2 linked regions of the Lytechinus pictus genome follow. The protein of the gene in region 2 interacts with the protein of the main gene of each other region in a pairwise test. Links are inferred from orthologs where the notes say so. Each region holds a gene or a part of one and is shown on either strand. Other genes may lie near its edges.

Region 1 (9,594 bases), on a different chromosome or scaffold from region 2:
GAAATAAACTGTTAAAGAGTCTTTTCCCGTGAAATGATCTCGCATATACCAATCAAATACATGTATGTCCGTTTTGTTTTGTAAAGAAAAAAGATAAAATTTGATATAGAAAAAAGATAAAATTTGATATGGGGAGGTTCGGATGATTCGAAATTTATGGGGGCATCCAAAATGAGGGCTTTAATAAATGAGATGGCACATTGTTAAATCAAGGTTGTAAGTTATATGGACATGGAGATGGTGTTAGTAAACAAGATATATATATATATAACACACATGCATATACATATTTTTTCCCTTTCTTCCATTTCTTCATCTTTATTCCTTTTCCTTTAATTTCTTCTCCTTTTCTTTCCATTCTTCTTTTTTTTCTTTTTTTTCTCCTCCTTCCTTTCCTTTTCCTTTCTTTTCCCTTTCATTTTCTCTTACTTTCCTTTGTCTTTCTTTTTTTTCTCTTCTTCTTTTTTTTCAAAATGGATAATAACCGGGGATAATAAGCTCTACTGAATACAAAGAATATAACCTAGACTAGTATCCCGTAATTAGTAACCAACTGGAATAAAATTATTGGAAATGGTTTTTTGACTGATTTGAGTAGGTATGGGTGTCAACATTTACCCAAAAAAAGTTAGGAGGAATACGGGTTGGGGAAAGTGCTTTTTTTCAAGGTCAAAGGTCAATGACCTTTTTAAATATACTGTATCATGGTAGCTCCCAGATAAAATATTACAGGTTGGTGATCATGGTGTCAAAATGCACAGATTCTTACAAGAAGATCAAATAAAATCAAATCAAGTACCTACAATGCTCATTCACCCATGAAATTCAAGGTCAAAGCCTTTCAAAGTTCAATGACCTTTATTACATTATATACCATATACGGTATAATGGTATCTCTGAGATGAAAAGGTTTCAGGTTGGTGATCTAGGTGTCAAAATGCAGAGGTTCTTACAGGAAGATCAAATAAAATCAAATTAATTACCCAGAATGCACATTAAACAATAAAATTCAAGGTCAAAGCCTTTCAAAGGTCAATGACCTTTTTTCTACATCATATACCATATACGGTATAATGCTATCTCTCAGATGAAAAGGCGCAGGTTGGTGATCTTGGTTTCAAAATGCACAGATTCTTACAAGAAGATCAAATGAAATCAAATCAAGTACCTACAATGCTCATTCACCGAATGAATGAAATTCAAGGTCAAAGCTTTCAAAGCTCAATTACTTTTTTTTACATTGTATACCATATACGGTATAATGGTATCTCTGAGATGAAAAGGTGCAGGTTGGTGATCTTGGTGTCAAAATGCAGAGGTTCTTACAGGAAGATCAAATAAAATAGAATTAAGTACCCAGAATGCACATTAAACTATAAAATTCAAGGTAAAAGCCTTTCAAAGGTCAATGACCTTTTTTACATTATGTATCATACTGTATAATAGTATCTCTGAGATGAAACGGCACAGGTTGGTGATCGTTGGATCAAAATTCCCAGATTCTTACAGGAAGATCAAATAAGATAAAGTTAATCACCTAGAATGCATACTAACCCATAAAGTTCAAGGTCAAAGGTCAGTGACCTTTTTACATAGGCTATATATCGTCTAAAGGTATCTCTGAGATAAAACGCTGCATGTTGGTGATTTTGATGTCAATTCAATTTTTGCAAGAAGATAAAAAAGACTCAAAATAATCATACAGAATAATCCAATATCCAAAGTCAAAGGTCAAAAGTTGATAAATATTTATATATCCATGCATGATTCCCCCCAAAAAGAAATTAATCCATTATATTCACATTTTATTTGTGAATAATAGAAAGAAAGATAACTATTTGTAATGAACACTTGGAAGTCTAATAATTTCACTCTGAAAGAAATAAGGATAAAAAATGGCCATGGAAAATATATTTAGGAGTTAAAGGTCAATCAACTATGTCAATAGCGTCAGGGAATTTAAGTAAATAGGTCGATATAACGTGATTGTGGCATGTAGGTATAGTGATTCTGATGGGAAAAAGACTGACCTGCGTGGAAAAAGAACACAAATTTAATAGTTGAATCCTTGACCAATGATGATGTCAAAATACAAGTTCGAGGTACAAATTGGATCAAATAGCACTTTTTCTTATAATATACTGTAATGCATTGACAAAAGTGTTTAAAAAAAATCATGTGTGATATAATTTGAAATGGTGACAATGGTGAAGTTACCTAAAGTAGCAGCATTTAGATATGCATTTTATAAATCTAAATCAAGGTACTAATTTCTCTGTAGCAATAGGTCACTAACCTCAAATGCTACAATCAATACTATAACACTATAACTTAATCTGTAAATGGAAAGGATAGGCCTAAGTCTCATGGCAAGCATCATCCGAGAACATTTGCATATAGCCAGGGACAATGACGAAGAATTAAAATAAGGCAATCATTAGAGCTGCAGCTTTTTTTGTCATAGATGAAGTTAAGTGTCTCAACTTCAGCAAAGAGTAATTGGACTCTTGAAAACCTTCTGACATTTTCAAGACTTTGATATGGCCCATTCAATGAAAGCCTAACGTTCTGTCAAGGGATATCAGACCAGGATCTATATTATTACTGATAATTGCACAGCTTGATTCTCAAGAACTGGAAGTGGTGCTATGAGTTTTGTTAGGTCGATGGATGTGTACTTGTAAGCTATTATCTCCTTTTGAATGGCATTGTTATATGCCTAATTTGTGCATGCTAACAATCAGTTTTCTGGACCAAAAACATGATCCTTGTACAAACTGATACCTAGTAGAAATAGCATCATGGGTGACGTACGGCAGAGAGCAGATATGAAGGTTTGTCTTGCAGCATTAGCATCACAAGAGATTCTGGCAGCTCGCAATGAACTGATGAAAGGTACTAATAATACGGGAATTTACCTTTGTTGAAGTTGATATATATATAATTTACTACATGTATATGACAGAAGCTGCAGCTCTAATGATGGCCTTCATTTCATCATCATCCCTCTGCTGTTTGGAAATGCTCTCAGATGATGCTTGCTGTGACATGAGAGTTAGACCTGTCCTATCCATTTTCAGAAGATTAAGCTAATAGTTTATAGTATTTATTATAGCATTGAGATGAGTGGCCTATCGCTGGAGAGAAAAGACACGACAACCTTGATTTAGATATAATGATGCATTAAATGCTGCTACTTAAGATAAAAATCATTTCAAATTATATACTTGATTTCATGTATTTTTTCAGTGCTTTTGGCAATGCATCGCAGTATATGAAAAAGTGTTATTTGGTTATCAACTTTTTAAACTTCATTTCCACTGATATTTTGGAAAGGGCTCATTGACCTCTGACCCCAAAATACATTCTCCATGGCCTTCATTATTTCAGACCGAAATTATGAAACCTCCATGTTTTCATTACAAATTAGCCATGGTTATTTACATATTATTCAGATATAAAATATGAACACAAAAGATATTGTTTTGGGTTATTTTTACATCATATAGATTATATATTTCTTCTGATCTAGGATTTCAAGGGTGAAAGTTTATTCTTTATACTTATTTTAGTGTTGTTTAATCTTCTTGTACAAGTCTTTGGATTTTGGCACCAAGATCACCAACCTGCGGTGTTTTATCTCAGAGATACCATTATTATCATCTAATGTTAAAAAGGACATTGACCTTTGTCCTTGAATTTTATGGGTGAATGTGCATTCTCTATGCTTAATTTTATTTTATCTTCCTGTAAGAATATGCGTGTTTTGACACCAAGAACACCAACCCGCACCGTTTTATCTTAGAGATACAATTATATAATATGGTATATGTAGTATAAAAGGTCATTGACCTTTGGCCTTAAATTTTATGCGTGAATGTGCATTCTAGGTACTTAATTTTATTCCATTTGATCTTCTGGTAAGAATCTGTGCATTTTGACACCATGATCACCAACCTGTGCTTTTTCATCTCAGGGATACCATTATACAGTATGGTATATAATGTAAATAGGTCATTGACCTTTGAAAAGCTTTGACCTTGAATTTTATTGGTGAATGTGCATTCTAGGTACTTAAGTTTATTTCATTTGATCTTCTTGTAAGAATCTGTACATTTTGACACCATGATCACCAGCATGTACCTTATCATCTCAGAGATACCATTATACGGTATGGTATATAATGTAAAAAAGGTCATTGACCTTTTGAAAGGCTTTGACCTTGAATTTTATAGGTGAATGTGCATTTTAGGTCATTAATTTTATTCTATTTGATATTCTGGTAAGAATTTGTGCATTTTGACACCATTATCACCAACCTGCGCCTTTCCATCTCAGAGATACCATTATACAGTATGTACGAAAAGGTCATTGACCTTTGACCTTGAAAAAAAGCACTTTCCCCAACCCGTATTCCTCCTAACTTTTTTTGGGGTAAATGTTGACACCCATACCTACTCAAATCAGTCAAAAAAACATTTCCAATAATTTTATTCCAGACTCAGAGAAGAGAGATATATTATTCTAAAACAAACAGAACAATGACCATCGTCTATGTGGCCTCATACTCATATAAAATACATATATATACACAATTACACACATATGTATCTATATGAACAAATAAGTAATTAGATACTAATCAAATAGATATTTTTCTCTATTTCCTAGTCTGAGGTATAGACTAGTTTATGTATCCCATCGTGCATTACGGTTTAAATATGGCAGCCCCCATGTCAATTGAAATGTAATGCATGCATGCACGCAATTACACGCGCATTACCATTAGATACAAGATTTCGCATCGTTGTCGTTGACGTTAGATGAGATCGACAGTAGTTAGGACAATGAAGTTACTTACACATAATATGCTGACTTCTCATGTCAAAGGAGTGAAAAATGGATACCCTTTAAAAATAGAGGTAAGATACTAAGTCAAGACTAAGATCTGAAGTGAAGATTAAACAGTTAAATAAGATTAAACAGTTAAAATAGATCTAACTTTATTTTTAAGTACCGGTAGGCCTAGACCAAAAGCTTCGGTCTGTGTTATGTTGGTTGTTCAGCTGAACTCCGTTGGCTTCACTCACCAAATACAGAGACCGAAGTTCTAGCGCGATCTGTACAGGGGACTCAATGGCCATATGTTTATGTACTTAAGATCGGATAAAACGAGGAAGTGAATTTGCGCGACAGCCGAGGTAAGTCACTGTTTTTGTTCCTTTTAACTTGATTTTTCTCCGTTTTTTGGCAATTGATGCCAAGAGGGAATATTAATTTGCATTTTGGTCGCGTGAATTTTCAAAATTTTTACTCATTAAAGACAAAAATTGAAGAGCCCCGACGGGGGGATTTTGCATTGCAAGTCCCCTAATGGTGGCTGCACGCTAGCGAGCCGTCTGTGTATGAGGAGAAATTAAAAAAAAAAAAAAATGTTAAAAAACTCCTCGAAACAGAGTAACAGACGGCTGCCAGCTGTCTACGGTAGGCCTAGAATAGATCTAACATTAAAGTTAGAACCTAACGTTAGTTAATAGTAGTGCAGACACAACTGTATTTTTCCAGTAGATGCGGTATAAAGGTATTAAAGGCATAAAGACTAAGTTTTAAGATAAGAATATAAATTTCAGAAAAGACAGAAGTGAGACTGCATCAGGGTGACCAGATTTCACAAAGTGAAATACAGATTACAGGAGAATCGACAAAGGTCAAAGCACGCTGCACAAGCGGATCGACCGAGGCCGAGCCAGGTCTTAATAAAAAGAAGATCAACAAAGAAGGCTACACTGTACACAGACACAGTGTTAGACTTGTAAGTTGTAAAAAAAATAAACAATTGGAAGGGAGGATGAACGAAAGAATGAAGGAGAGAAAGAAAAGAGATGAATTGAAAGAAGAAAGAAAGAAAAAAGGGAAAATGCAGGAAAAAAGGAAGTTAGAATAAAAGAAGGATGAAATAAAGAATAACAGAGATTAAAGGTTTCCGTCATTCTTTGAATTGAAAAAAGAAAAAGAAAAACTGAAAGAAATGGAAGATGAACAAATGTGTGAAAGAATTAAAAAATAAAGGAGAGAAAGGAAAAGGGTAAGAAAAAAGGAGGAAGCGGAAAGAAAGAATGGAGGAAAGAAAAATGTTTCCTTCAGAAAATGAAAAAGAAACAAAGAAAGAAGAAAAACAGGAAGGGAGGGAAAGAAAGAAAGAATAAGGGAAAATAATTAGAAGGGAAAAATTAAATAAAGAATGAAAGAAAGGATGAAACAGAGGGAGGAGAGAATGAAAAAAAAAGTAATGGAACTAGTAGTAGTAGATTAGAGAATGAACAAAGATAAAAAGGAGAGGAAGGGAGAAGGAAGCAAAGCAAAGTTTAAGGAAAGAAAATTAATGAAGTAAATAAAAAAAGTAAATTTAAAAAAGAAAGAAGGAAAGACAGAAAAATGAACAGAGATAGAGAGAGACTAAAAATCAGGAAATAAAGATTCATGGAATGAAAAAGGGGCAAGAAGAAAAGAACGAAAGAGGAAATAGTTCAAACTTCTATATATATATTTTTTTTTATAAAAAAAACCTAAAATGTTTAAAAAATGAAGGAGGCGCGATAGCTCAGTCAGTAGAGCGGGGGTTTCGGATTCCGGTGACCCGGGTTCGATTCCCAAGTGGTGCGCTAGTGCCCTTTGGTAAGGCATTCATCCTCATTACCAGGTCCCTCTGAGAGGACCTTAAGCCGATGGCCTCTGGTTACTTGCTCACAGGCATTCGTGCTTTCTTAGCAGTCAGGTGAAAACCTCGGTATAACAATAAAATTTCAAAGTGAAACATTGTCAAATTTAAATATTAGATGAAACAACGCAGCATGCATCACACACAAGGAATCTCTCTTAGGCCCATCCCATTACAAGATCGCATCGATCACAAGACTCAAAACAAGAGCTGAAACAATACTAGATCAATATAATTATGAAAACTTGATAACTTGTTCCTCTGATTACATCACCAAATCAGTAATATAATATCATAATAAAAATTCCCCGCCGATTTTGTGATGATTTTGGTGGAAAAACTGTTTATCATGTGAGATTGTTTGCACCATTGAGAATCTGCTCCGATCCACCATGCCGAGCTAGTAGCCTGCCACACATTCATTTGCAATGTATTCATGGTGTTGAGTTAGCAAGAAAATCACCGCAGAACTTGCACAAGTTTACAGTTATCGATTTTATTGTTATCTCTGCCCCGATCTCTGCTTCGTCATCTGTTGGTTATTTGATGAAAATTCTCCACTTTTAAATATATTAACTATATTTTGTTCAATATTCTGAAATACGGGGACAAATAGGCATCCCGTGAAGGATTTGTCGGGACGCCGGGACAAAGGAGCAAAATACGGGACGATCCCGGGAAATACGGGACGTCTGGTCACCCTGGACTGCATGGAGTTGGACTGAGTGAGACTGAGAGTGAGACGTCTTCTAATTTTGTAAAGTATTACGTTAGAACTAACGTTAGAACTTTTAGAAGAACAAAGTTAGGCCTAGCCAGGAGGCTGAGTCCTGGTAAAGAGTAAATATCATTCACCAACGTGTGTTTACTCTCCACAGAGCTCGCCGCCAGCGCCAGGGATTGCGTCCTATTCATATACGTATAGTCTACCGCGAAAAAAAATGACCGGGGTATACTATAGTATAGGGTCTATCTGCAGATCTGTGAATGTAATTGAAAACATGGTATTACTATTGGTAAAGCGCTTAGAAGTTAAGAGATGTCGTTCCGATGTAGAAGTAAGCGCTGGACTATATAAAAGCGGAATGAAAAATTGTTCCCAGGGCCCGCCCCTGTTGGAAGGATGTCACCAGCACGGATGAAACAAATGGCGGTGAATCTGGACTGGTGACTTATTTTATTTCATGATGATGATAATGCCAAATGGCATGGCAGTAGATCAACAGACCAGTACATGCAGTTAGTAACTAAATAAGAGGTGCGGGTGGGATTGTTTTTTCACATGTTCAGTGAGGAATAAATCTTTGCTTGACATGACAATGAGGTGAAAATGAAAATATTTCATATTTCATATAATGAAATACAATATAGTGAGTGGGTGATGCTGTCAGTCCTCTCATTTTATGCATACCGATCAGGCCAGGATGTGCATATAACTGTTTTGTGAATTTAAGCGAAACTTTAAAATGACATAACTTTCTATTTCTATGAAAATTTTCAGAGTTATGCTTGTTGGATTTTTCTCCTTTTATTCAAATCAACTTTTTATTAGAATAGACTTGTCCGTTTAATTGCTGTCATCCCATAGTTGTAATACGATACCCCATGATTAATGAACCATCCACTGGATTGGTATTGGCATTTAACAGGTGAATGAACCTTTTTTTAGATTTCTTGTGAGGAGAAATAATAATAAAAGAAGATAGTACTACTAGGGATGATTCTCATTTTCAGACCGGTGCCTCTACTGTAAGAGCCAACCGTAATTTAGACGTACAATTAATTTTCTGTAGAATGCTATGCCCTCTATGTTGTTGCATTGAATTTGAATTTCTAAATTAAACCTATGAAAATGTGATAATATGCATTCAGCGAAAGAAAATCTTTGAGTGTTCTTCATCTGAGCTGAGGGACTGATACTGCACAACTGTTCTCAAGAAGCAAGTGCTTATTACTGTTCTCTTTGACTTTGTAATACAGTGTATGTTCATGTTTGCTATTACAGCCTGAAAATACAAGGACGCTGGAAGTTGAATTTAACCCAGACTTCATCGCTAGAATGATTCCAAGAATAGACTGGACTGCCCTTTATGATACAGCATGCAGCGTAAGTCGTTTTATTTCATAACATGTCCAATATCCATTATGTTTTTCTTTTTCATATTTTCACTTATCATTTTCTCTGCAACCAGAAAAAGATGTAGGCCTACCGTATCATACTCACGTTTTTATACTTAATGAAATGATGAAAACCTGATGATGTATTTAAATAGTGCATACATGTAGTATATATGTTTTATAACCCACTCATATGAATGATTTACAAGAGGATACAGATCTTTTGCAGTTCAAATACTGTATTAAAGAACATACGTATATCCTGATGTGACATACATAAGAATTAATCATTAATGGTAACAGTCCCTGAGTCAATGCACTTTCATAGAAGCAACCACATGAAGGTTGATTGCATGAAAATAGAATATTGTTATTCACTACTTCTAGAAAATATTGGGAATTGGGTGTATTATGATTGTAATACATTTTTTTTGGCAAAAATTAATGTTAATGTGAAATTTCTTTAAATTTCTTTCTTTCTTTGTTGTTGTTGATATTTGTATTATCAATGGCCTCTTTCTTTTCACTGTGTAAGTTTGCATAATGTAGTTAGCCTACAGTGAGCATATGTTATCAATATATTTTCCAGCTCAATGTGAATGGTAACCTACCTCCTCAACTGATAGAAAACTATGAGAGTGATGAAGAATTCTTGAAAGAAGCTCATAGAGTGTTGCTAGAGGTAAGTTTACATAGCACCAGGTGTAGGTATATTAAATAACCTGGACCAACTGGTTAGTTAATGGCAGATAAAGCTA
Region 2 (11,967 bases):
ATGAAAAGTATTTCATTAATGATTAAAGTATTTCATTAATGATTAAAGTATTTCATTAATGATTAAAGTATTTCATTAATGATTAAAGTATTTCATTAATGATTAAAGTATTTCATTAATGATTAAAGTATTTCATTGATGATAAGTAGATAGATAGATAGATAAATAGATAGATATATAGATAGATATAGAGATAGATAGATAGGCCTAAAGATAGAAATAGTATGATACAGGTAGATAGAGAGATAAAGTCATAAAGGTGATGCACCACTAATTGTGAACCAATTTTGAAAAGTGCCCACCCCTCCCCCGGCGTTATTAGCCGAACATGGGGTACCCGGGCGAGTGGACCAACATTTCTATTGAGCGAGCAAAATTTTGATTTTTAAACTAATCTTGTTGGGGGGATCCATGGCCCCAGAAGCCCCCATTTGTACGCCAGTGCCTCCCCCAAAGAGGAAAAGAGCAAATAAAATCTGGTGGGAAGGGGGGCACAGTGGCGTAACAGGCGGGGGGGGGGGGGGCAGGCTGCCCCCCTGGCCGATTTCAACGGGAAAAGAAAAATGGGAGGGAGAAAGAAAGGGAAAGGGATATAATTCAAAATGTTTTTTTTAGATAAAAACTTGCATCGCAGTACATAGCCGAATTACAAAAAGCTTGTACAATATAATAAAAAGATCGATACCGAGGATAAGCATATAGTGTGGAATATAACAACAAAACCATGATACAATAAAGCAACAAATATGGTACATAACATAAGATAAACAAAATTATCACAAGACAAAATGTGTTCAATATGACATTAACGTCAATTACAAGAATCACAGAACTAAAAAAAAAAATACAAAGTCCAAGAATCAATATGAGAAAAAGGATGAGACATACAAATTATGCAAAAAAAGTACCAGATCGTGTACAATAAGGATTAGATTAAATATATGAATACACAAGAGATGAAGGATAAGGAGGAAAATATAGGCAGAATAACAAGAGCGAGCGATAGAAAAGAGGAAAGGATGAAAAAGGAAAGGGAAATATAATTAAATAGTGAAATGATAACTGAGGAAAAAACATTAAAAATTGAAAACGGAAGGAAAGAGGAAAAAGGAACGAAAGAAGAATATGTGAGAAAGAATTAAACCATTCCGAAATAGCTCTACTATTTAGCATGATTAAGAAAGGGAAATGAATTAAAAGATGACAAAATTGCAAACAAAAGCGGGAAAAGGAGATAGAATGGAATGAGCCAAAAGCTATAAGGGACAAGAAATAAAAAGAAAGAAGAACTTAAAGGGGAACTTAATAACACGACCGGGCTGCCGAGGATTGAAAATGAAGAAAGGTGGACCGTGGACTGCATGTATGCAAAATTGTGATGTAATTATGCTTGCTAAATTTTATGCAATAACGGTCGCAATCATAACTTAAATTGGCTAAATCTCCAAAGCTACTTGGGGCTTTGCCTCAGACCCCACTCAGCTTCATCTGTAACCTTCAAAGGGCTCTATAACGCCCCCTGTATGCAGGGCCATAGCTAGAGGGGGGGGGGGGGGTATGGGGGGCAGTGGCGTAACAGGCGGGGGGGCAGGGGGGGGGGCAAGCTGCCCCCCCTGGCGGAGCTCACCGGGAAAATAAAAAAAAAACGGGAAAAAGAAAAAAAAGGGAGGAAGAAAGGGAAAGGGAAAGGAAAGAAAAGAGAAAAAGGGAAAGGGGAAGGAAAGGGAAGGGGAAAGGAAAAGGAAAAGGGAAAAGAAAAATAAGAAAAACATAAAAAAAGGGAAAACGGAAAGATAACGGGAAAAGGAAGGAAAAAGAACAAGTGAGAAAGAACAATTCGCCCCGATATAATACATTAGCATGATTAGTAAGACAGGAAAATAAATTAAAGATGACAAAAAGGCAAACAAAAGCGGGAAAAAAAGGCAGAATGGAATTAGCCAAATCTAAATTGGAAAATAAAGAATAGGGAAAAAATAACGTACACTATACACTATAACGAGCGGGAAGAAAAATGGATGGTATATAGCATAATGTACGAAAGTCTATCATAAACTTGCTAAATCTCCAAAGGCTCTGTCCTAGAGTCAAGACCCCGTGCAGTGGAGGCTCTTCATCTGTAACCTTTTATGGGTTCTATAACGGGCCCCTATATGGACCTGCATTAAGCTTTACGTTGAAGCACTGGCGTACCAGGGGGTGGTTCCACAGCCAAGGGGAAATAAAAGAAAATAAAGGAGGCAGCGAAATGAGATGAATGAAAAAAAATATATGACATGATATTTGCTATAATGATGTAAAAATCTATCACATAATTAGAATTTCATTTTAACAGGCCATTTTTTTTTCTGGGGCTCTGCCCTGGACCCCACCCATAAAGCACTGTTATATGGATGAGTTGGACCATGGCCCCCAAAAGTTTTACAACCAAACAAAAAAAAGAGGAAAGAAAGGAAAGTGTATTATATTTTTCTGAATATCACGTTAAAATCTATCTTCATGTTAGATTCTCATGAAAAGGTTTTTTTTTTTTTATCTCGCTCGCTTCGCTCGCTCGGGACCTATATTAAGCTACTTCTTGCCAAAAGCGCCATACTCGGCCCCCTCGAGCATATAGAGCTTCGCCCTGATGCTGACAATCATAACACAAATCCTGTTCACCGTGGCGTACAAAAAAAGAGAGAAAAAAGGAAAGAGAGGAGGGTGAAATATGATATCATGTTTTTAACATTATGTCAAAATCTATCACAAAATTGGATTTTTGCAATAAAAATGTCAAAAAGATTTGCTCGCTCGCTTCGCTCGCTTATATATATATATTTGAGCGATACGCCATATCGCCCCCTCAAATGTTTTGCCTTATGACGCCATTGCCTGTTCCATGATATGACCGGGAAATTTTTGGCTCTTGCCCCCCCTGGCCACCGACCCCTGTTACGCCGCTGATGGGGGGGGGGGGGGTGTGACACCCCCCCAACATTCATGGCAGTCGGCAAAATCATGTACCAGTTGGCAAAATGGAGGATAGGGGAGAAAAAGAAAGAGGGAAAGAAAGGAAGAGAAAAAAGAAAGAAGGAGAGAGGGGGAGAGAAAGAAAGAAAGAAAGAAAGAAAGAAAGAAAGAAAGAAAGAAAGAAAGAAAGAAAGAAAGAAAGAAACGAAAGAAAGAAAGAAAGAAAGAAAGAAAGAAAGAAAGAAAGAAAGAAAGAAAGAAAGAAAGAAAGAAAGAAAGAAAGAAAGAAAGAAAGAAAGAAAGAAAGAAAGAAAGAAAGAAAGAAAGAAAGAAAGAACGAACGAAAGAACGAAAGAAAGAAAGAAAGAAAGAAAGAAAGAAAGAAAGAAAGAAAGAAAGAAAGAAAGAAAGAAAGAAAGAAAGAAAGAAAGAAAGAAAGAAAGAAAGAAAGAAAGAAAGAAAGAAAGAAAGAAAGAAAGAAAGAAAGAAAGAAAGAAAGAAAGAACGAAAGAACGAAAGAAAGAAAGAAAGAAAGAAAGAAAGAAAGAAAGCAAGAAAGAAAGAAAGAAAGAAAGAAAGAAAGAAAGCAAGAAAGAAAGAAAGAAAGAAAGAAAGAAAGAAAGAAAGAAAAAAAGGAAAGAAAAATAGGGGTACTAACTTCGAAGAAGGTTACGACTTTTAGAGTAAAGACAACCAGTTGGCAAATCCAAGTCCATGTAGCCAGGCTTAGAGCCCTACTAGTCAGCAAAATACAAAGGACAAATTATTTGGAGCTATAATAACACACAAAGTAAGCCCCCGGTCCTCCCCCAATATAAACAAGCTTGTGAGTTTGCAAATTATACCACAATTATTGACGATTTAACAAACACATTAGTTTTGTAAAATTAGAGGCAAGACTAGGTAAATAAATATGGGTTGGGATGAATTTCCAAGGTTTAAGTTGAATAATCAAAGCCAAAGTATAGTTGGCAAATTATAAAGTGGGCCTGTTAAAGTGGCAGAACACTATACGCTCTACCACTGGCGTAAATCCGGGGGGGGGGGGGGATGGGGGGATATATCCCCCCACTTTTCGAGGAGGGGGGGATGGCCTGTACAAACATCCCCCCCCCCCACTTTTTAAGAAAGTAATGAAAAAAAAATCACAAGAGATAATTGTTTTATTGGTGAAAATTCTTCCTAAAATACCGCTTAACAAATAAAACAATATTATTGAATCATAAAATGCAAATAAAGAGCCAGTTCACCATTTCCAAACGAAATACTTATTTCCTTATTATAACATTGAAGAGAAACCCCCATTTCTTCCAATTCATCAATGTTGGGGTCTTTGGGAAGGGATTAAGATGGAATGTCAAAAATTTTTGAATGTAATCTCTAATAAAACCATTAAACCATCATGGGGTAAAAAAGATAATAATATTGGAGGGGTATTTGCCATATGGACATACAGTGGCGTAACTACGGGGGGCATGGGGGGCACACCCCCCCCCCATCGGCTGACCAAAAAAAAAAAACGGGGAAAGGGGAAAGGAGAAAAGAGGGAGAAAGGAAGAGAAACGTACTGGGAAAGAAGAAAATATTATTCATTATAATGTTATATTATATTATAATTATGTTATGTTACATTACATAAGAAACATATTTATCATAACTTTATGAAACATAATTTGCCCAGGGCCTAAGTCTTCATTGTTCCTGGTGCTCGCATTGTCTGTTTAACGTGATATATAATCCTGTTGTACTAAAACATCCCGTTTTCAAGTCAATATAAACCAAATGTATTTCCTAGCACTTGAGTTATCATTGTTTTATGTAGTGACATATGCTTCTTTTTCACGACTAAAAAAGTGATTGCCCCATGTAAAGGTCTTCGTATATATGAAACATTTCCTGTCCGTGATTACGTTCGCATTAGTGGATTGGTGAGATATGTCTACTTTTCATAAATTCCTAAAATCAGTCCTTAAAATGTCCCTTCTGATCTGAATATCAAAAATTTTCAGCTCGCGCTTCGCGCTCGCATCATTTGGTTAATGAAATACGTATGGTCCTAGTTATTTCTTAAAAAAAAAACCTTAGAATGCCCCACTTCCGGTCTGAATTATCTAAATTTTCAGCTCGCGCTTCGCGCTCGCATTGTTTAGCGAGACAGGTACCTATCATGATTACACAAATTTGATTATAATGTCCCTTTTTAGGAGAGAATATGAAAAAAATTTCAGCTCGCGCTTCGCGCTCGCATTATTTGATCAGTGAGATACATATCAGTTTAATGACATCGTCCTTAAAATGTCTCTATTAGGGCAGTATAACTGGTAACTGAGCGCGCTCACTATAGCGCACTCACTCAGTGATTCAAAATTTTTGCTGGTGCCCCCCCCCCATGCCGTGATCACGGTACGCCACTGTGGACATATCAATGGCAATTCCTTGCATATCTAAAAACATGATTGCAAAAAAAATGCCAAAATATTTCAGTCATCCCCCCCCCCCACCCATCAACACGGATTTACGCCAGTGCGCTCTACCAGTCAGCAAAGTGATGTACAAGTACTGCCCCGTTTCAGATCTGAAAAGAACAGAACACAACACTAAAAAACTGGTAACTCTGCAGTTGGCAAATTCATGAAGACAAGTCTACAACTTGTAGACTTGTCTACAAGTTTGCAGTTGGCAAAAAACACAAAAATGTTCTAAGTTATATTTACAAATTATGTCGCCGAAGAATTTTTTTTAATTTATGGTGTCAGAATGTGCTTGGGGTGGGGATGGGTGGGATTGGGGGCAGGTTGGGGTTGCATCATTCCTGGTGCTCGCATTGTCTGACTAATGAGATATATAGTCCTGTTGTATTTTAAGTCCATAAAGATTATGCACCAAATTATCTCCTCGCACTTCAAGTTATTATTGTTTTATGAAGTGACATCTGCTTTTTTCATGACTATATACTTAAGGTGATTGCCCCCTATTAAGGCCTTAATAAAACATTTCCAGTCTGTGCTTACGTTCGCATTGGTGTGGACCGATTTAGATACCGGGCTGGTATTAAATCAACACTGGCGTTTTTGCAGTGCACAAATTCCTAAAGACAGTCCTTAAAATGTTCCCTTTTCTGATCTAATTATAACAAATTTTCAGCTCGCGCTTCGCGTTCGCATCACTTAATTAGTGAAATAGTAAATTCCTACAAACAAGCCATAGAAGGTCCAAATTGAAAAAATTGTCAGCTCGCGCTTCTCGCCCGCAATATTTCATTAGTGAAATACGTATCATGTTAATGATTACAATGACCACAAAAAGTGCTTCATGTACCAGTGTAATTCTAACAAAATCAGCAAGCGCTTGGCGCTTTCATTAGATGACTATGATGAGATACGTACGCACTTCATAAATTCCAAAAGATAGTCCTTAAAATGTCTCTTTTTAGGGTTAAGTTAAACAAAAAATTTCAGCCCGCGCTTCGCGCTCGCATTGTTTGTTTTGTGAGACAGGTACGTATCATGATTACAAAACTTTGCTTATGTCCCTTTTAGGACTGAATATCAAACATTTTCAGCTCGCGCTTCGCGCTCGCATTATTTGATCACTAAGATACATATCCGTTTAATGGCACAGTTTTAAAATGTCTCTATTAGGTCAGTATACCTGGCAATTGAGCACGCTTCGCGCGCCCACTTAATGACTCAAAATTTTTGCTGGTGCCCCCCCCATGCCGTGACCCACGGTACGCCACTGTTAGCAGTACTTAGCACTCTTGAAATTTCAGTTGAGACATCTTGCACAGAAGGTCAATTAAAAATTAACAAATCTTTGATTTTCATATTATTAATGCATATGGGGCATTATACTGCAAGTTAGCAACATCGGCACACTATAGCCTTTCTATTTTGATCCAAAATGTTTATTTTCACAGTGCAAATATCTTTGTATATTTTTGTATAATTTACCTTAAAGTATTCACCAAATGCCACTAATTCAATTCTAAAAATTCAAAATCTTTTAGCATGTGATTATTGTGGGGGGGGGGGGCACATCCCCCATCTGCCCTGTGCTCACGTTGGCGCTGTCACGCCAAATGTAGTTGGCAAATTTAGCTGGTACACCCCCCCCCAACAAAATGCTTCTGGCTACGGCCCTGCCTGTATGGACCCTTCAATTCCTACGTTAATCACTGGCGTACAGGGGGGGGGGGGGGGGGGGGGGCATAGCTTTAAACGAGATCAGTGTGGACGCCCTCTGCGTTTGTTGACTGTCATCTGACGCTTGAAGAAAAGGAAAATAGCCCTGATAAACTGCCTCAAAAAGAGGCTTCTTTGAAGTGGTGTCGCGATATCATTTTCTTCAAAATGCAGGTAAAGTCGGAATTAATAGAATATATTTTTATTTTATGGAATTTAGGAGGCACACGTCCCATAATGAAGTCTAATTTTCCCTAAAACTTAATTCCAGTCCCTTTCGTTTAAATTTGCGTCTCCAAATCTGACTGTAAGTGCAACTGCAAGTAAGTAAGTTGAACTTCAAAGTTCAAGTAACCTATACGGTTACCCCCAAATTAAGATAATAATTAATATTGGCGAATGATACATCAAATGAAAGGTCTTTGCATTAGAAATGAAAAAAAAAGAAAATTCGTCCAACCGTTGAGGAATTATGGGTAATAAAATATCAAATTTTTCTACCGCAAAAAATGCCAAAATGTGATGGCATGACTGACATGACTGATGCCTCAAATTTTTTTGTGGTATCTAACGTTAGTCTAAATTATATATTACGTTTGAAAATTGCGCCACGTCATTCCAAGAATATTTTCCCTCGAGTCTTGCGAAACTTTTTGAGTCCAAATTTACAATACTAAGTAATTAGTATACTCTGGGGCCCGTTTCTCAACACATGGACAAGTTAGTCATATCTTTATCCACCAACCACGGAGTTAGTTCCAATCTTACTAAATCTGTTTCTCGAAAAGTTTCCTAACTAGAATACCTTGATATCGATACTATCGGTAGAAAGAGCAGACGAGACGTAGCCTTAGTCACAAAATAGCATTAATATTCAAAAAGAAAAATTATGACAAAATTGCAAATATTGTGATAAATTGGGAAATAAATATTTTCAAAATAATAGCACAGGTGAATTATGCATCATACATACTTAGACCATGAAGACTTGAGCATTCAATTGCAGAGAAAATGAAATTATGAATAATTCATTTCATGACTAAAAAATCACTTGTGGACGTTGAGATTGGGTACCCCCGGGATATCCAATTTTAATAGTTTACGAAAGTAAACCATAACGGTTTTCTTTGTAAAATGATGATAATTATGCGGTCTTTTACGATTCCGAACGTCATCAAAATATAGTTCAACAAAACATTTTTAACCATTAATACCATCATACCGGAACATACGATATTTGACAAATTATATGCATAAATTAGAGATAGAATTTATCCAACTGTTAATAGGGGTCTGAAAACAACAAATACGAGTTCAGTTATGGATGGCCTGACGTGGTAGAATATTTATCGATTAAATCATTTTACTATTTCAAAATGAATGGTTTTGTGGCGTTTTACCAATAGTTTTTATAGTTTCTTTGTATTACAATTATCATTGAATGCATTAACCCACTTGTTTTGTGATGTAACTTCAACCTCTATGATGATTACGTAAGATTATGATTTTAAAATTTCTATGCGCTTTTGCATGTCATAGTCTACCCACGTGATGCCACTACGTCATTAAGAAAGAAGTTATGACAGGTTCGGAGGTGTCATAAATATTTAGTGAGGTTGTTGTACCCGATCTTGGTAAAGAGGGCTTCGTGAAACGGTTAGCGGACAAGTAGCTCACTATCTCCGATTTAGTCAAGAAGTTAGACTTATGACGGTGTTGAGAAACGGGCCCCTGGTATGCGGATATATAGTAGGCCTAGCCTTGAAGTTGAGGACTCCATGATGATGTTTTTTAAATATTTTGACATATACTTCTTCATTATGGAGCCTTGACACTCTTTCCATAGACGCTGCAGTAAGACCTACACACCCGGATGGATTTCCCTAGGAAATCCATAGTTAAAAGGTGAAATCGGTTTGTAGAGGTGAATTTTATTTATCTATCAACCTTCATGCGCCTAGCCAGGGCAGGAGGCTTCTAGAGAGTAAAAATAATTTACTAACGTATACTTACTCTCCATGAAGCCAGGAATTCCTTTCCATTCATCTGCACGTACCGGCCAAAAACCTGAAACTTTCGCCCCTGAGATTTCTACTTCTAAAAGATCTAGCCCTAAATCATGCGCATGGGATACAACTTCATTTCCAACATTTCTACGCTATCAATTTTATTTTTAAACAAGAATTCATCCAAAAAATGAGAAAAATATTATAAAAAGACGGAAGAGACTTGCCCGATGTTTACGCCGCCATCTTGTTTCCTATTGTTCTTCCCCAACGTTACGGACGCGTCCGTCATTTTTTTCTTTTTTAATTTTAGAATCAAGACAAAGTTTTGGACAATTCTTTGGATTACATCTCGAGCAGAGTCAACGATTTGAAGAAGGCCCTAACAGACCTTCTCATGAAACTTGAACATCATCATGAAACTCTCAGTTGGTAAGTTAACACGACAGCATTATGACAATACTAATGAAAAAAAAAGAAAACAAACAACCAAAAGAAATTGAAAAAAAAATGGGTATATAATATTTTCACAGCTAAAAGCTCTCAGCCACAACTTTGTTTTTCTTAATCTACAGTTTGCACCCTTACAATATGTTGATTTTATTAAAAGAAAATAATGGCTTAAAAGAAAATAATTAAATAAATCAACCAAGTATAGCTAATGTGCTAATAAAATGCTCCGTTTGTACCACATGTATAATAAATTAAGTACCGGTATTTCAATTTTAAACCAATATATTGAATCAAAAAAAAAAAGTAAATTAATGCATGACTTTGTTCAATTTAAAGACATGAATATCCAAAATGGAATCTCAAAGTTTTCCTGTCTATTTTAATTGGTATGACCGCATTGTAGATACAGTATTTTCTCCGAAAAATTGTAGGGAAAATAGTCTAAATCTTCTATTAATCTATCTGTCTTTGCAGGCCATCTGTTCTCAACAGTTTTGCTCTATTATCAGGTATGTATTTTTTTCATTGGTCAAATTACTATAATTTCCGTTCATATTAAAGATGATATTACTCTAGCAAAGTTATTGAAAACTTTGGTTGCAGGCCAATGTATAATATGAATGTAATAATTTTTTGCTTTGTGTTATATTTTGGAATATCATGTTTGTAATATTCTGTTTGGTTTTAAGATGGTAGCATAATAAATAAAGCAATTAATATCTTATTTCAAATTACAGGTCAGATTAACACATTACATCGGCATCTCAAGAGTGATAAGACTCCAGCACTGAAGAACCTGATCATTCTCCCACTCAAACTATCACAAGATAGAGATGAAGAACTAGAGGTATGCATTTGCTTTCACAAACATTTACCTTCATTGGTGGAATACGCCACAAGGAGTGGAGATTGATACTAAGTCTAATGCAGGGCGCGACAAACCCGCTTGCCCGGGGCAAGTGAAAAGGACGTGCGGGCAAGCATTTCTCAAAGTCAATTGCCCGATCGGACAAGTGGTTGTTTTGGAAATAAAATACCAGTAGACCCTTTAAATTTCAATATCTTTTGGATAATCACAACTATCTCTCACTCATATTATGTCAAACCAGTAATAAAAAACAGTGGAAACTGATGTAAAATCAGCGCCAATTACCAATAATTTATCGCCAGGTACCTCGTTTGAAAAACCATGCCATTGCATCTTGCGTTCTATGTGTGCAATGACTGCGCATGCGCTACTATCTTGCGCAATTTGCCGATGCAAACAAACAACAAAAAAACACCAAAAGTGGCTAAAATTTCACATTTTGCAAAAATCCATGAAATGGCCATCTATTTTCCATTTTACCTTGAAATTGTTTTGATTTAGTTGGAAACTACTGAAAAAAATGAAGAATATTCAGCCCTATTTGACTCTCTTTCTTGATTCTGATTTATTATGATGTTACACTCGGTAAATGTTCTTTATTATTGTGGTCCCACATGTAGACTTTTATGGTGTTGACCAAGTGTAAAACGATCAAAACTGTTTAAAAAAAACCCCATGAAAGTCTACATGCGGGACTAGAATTAAACAAATATTGATCCAGTGTAACATCATAAAATGATGAAGAAAAGACAGAGACAGGTGAATATTCTTAATTTTCTTAATAGTTTCCAACTAATTTATTAAAAAAATTCAAGGAAATATGGGAAATAAATGACCATTTCATGGATTTAAAGATGCAAAATGTGAAATTTTAGCCACTCCACTTTTGAAAATTTTTTTTTTTACATCATAAAACGATCTTTTTCAGTGTCAATAAAGAGCTGAATACGCCCATTTATAAATGGCGAAAAAAAAATCAAAATAAACTTAATGACTCAGGCTATGTTGCTGAAAATAAACTTTTAAATGTGTGCTCTTTTATACTGTACATGATTCTCAATTGTTATTTTGTATGACCTTTAAAAATAAGAGTAGTGCCGTCATAATAAAAAAATGTAAAACAAATTGGGCATGTAGTTTTTTCTATCGGGCAAGAAACTTTTTCATCACTTGCCCGACAGGGCAAGTAACAATTTTTTTTGTACAGGCCTGTCTAATGACAGGGTAGCTATTTTTAAGTTTCCTTCATTTTTTTTTCTTATTCTATTCTTGCCCTTTTTTGCAAGTTTGCTTGCAGATTTAATGTCTCTAATGACAACAGGCAATTTGTAACATAGTAGACCAAGTCTCGATATAGTACTTTCTATAGAAATACCACCTCTTTACTTTGGCAATAGTTACTTTCTAATGCAGAAATTGGATTGTCTCTTTACATGCTTTGTTTCATTTATTTGTTAATTTTTCAATCCTTCGTAGAAAGTAACAGAGGGACGTGTGCCATCTT

What was found.
Region 1: the proteins of mediator of RNA polymerase II transcription subunit 8-like (region 2) and multifunctional methyltransferase subunit TRM112-like protein interact in binary tests that used the Drosophila melanogaster proteins (3 or more experiments, as listed by UniProt). The link is inferred for Lytechinus pictus from reciprocal best matches to the Drosophila melanogaster genes MED8 and Trmt112.

The regions. Positions count from the first base shown.
Region 1 is NC_087251.1:25,024,610-25,034,203, reverse strand, and holds the start of multifunctional methyltransferase subunit TRM112-like protein, read left to right. Parts: upstream 1-4,679; 5' UTR 4,680-4,823; coding exon 4,824-4,922; intron 4,923-8,723; coding exon 8,724-8,825; intron 8,826-9,425; coding exon 9,426-9,518; intron 9,519-9,594.
Region 2 is NC_087255.1:17,119,643-17,131,609, forward strand, and holds the start of mediator of RNA polymerase II transcription subunit 8-like, read left to right. Parts: upstream 1-7,186; 5' UTR 7,187-7,304; coding exon 7,305-7,310; intron 7,311-9,455; coding exon 9,456-9,574; intron 9,575-10,069; coding exon 10,070-10,104; intron 10,105-10,332; coding exon 10,333-10,442; intron 10,443-11,939; coding exon 11,940-11,967. UniProt on the Drosophila melanogaster protein: Component of the Mediator complex, a coactivator involved in the regulated transcription of nearly all RNA polymerase II-dependent genes.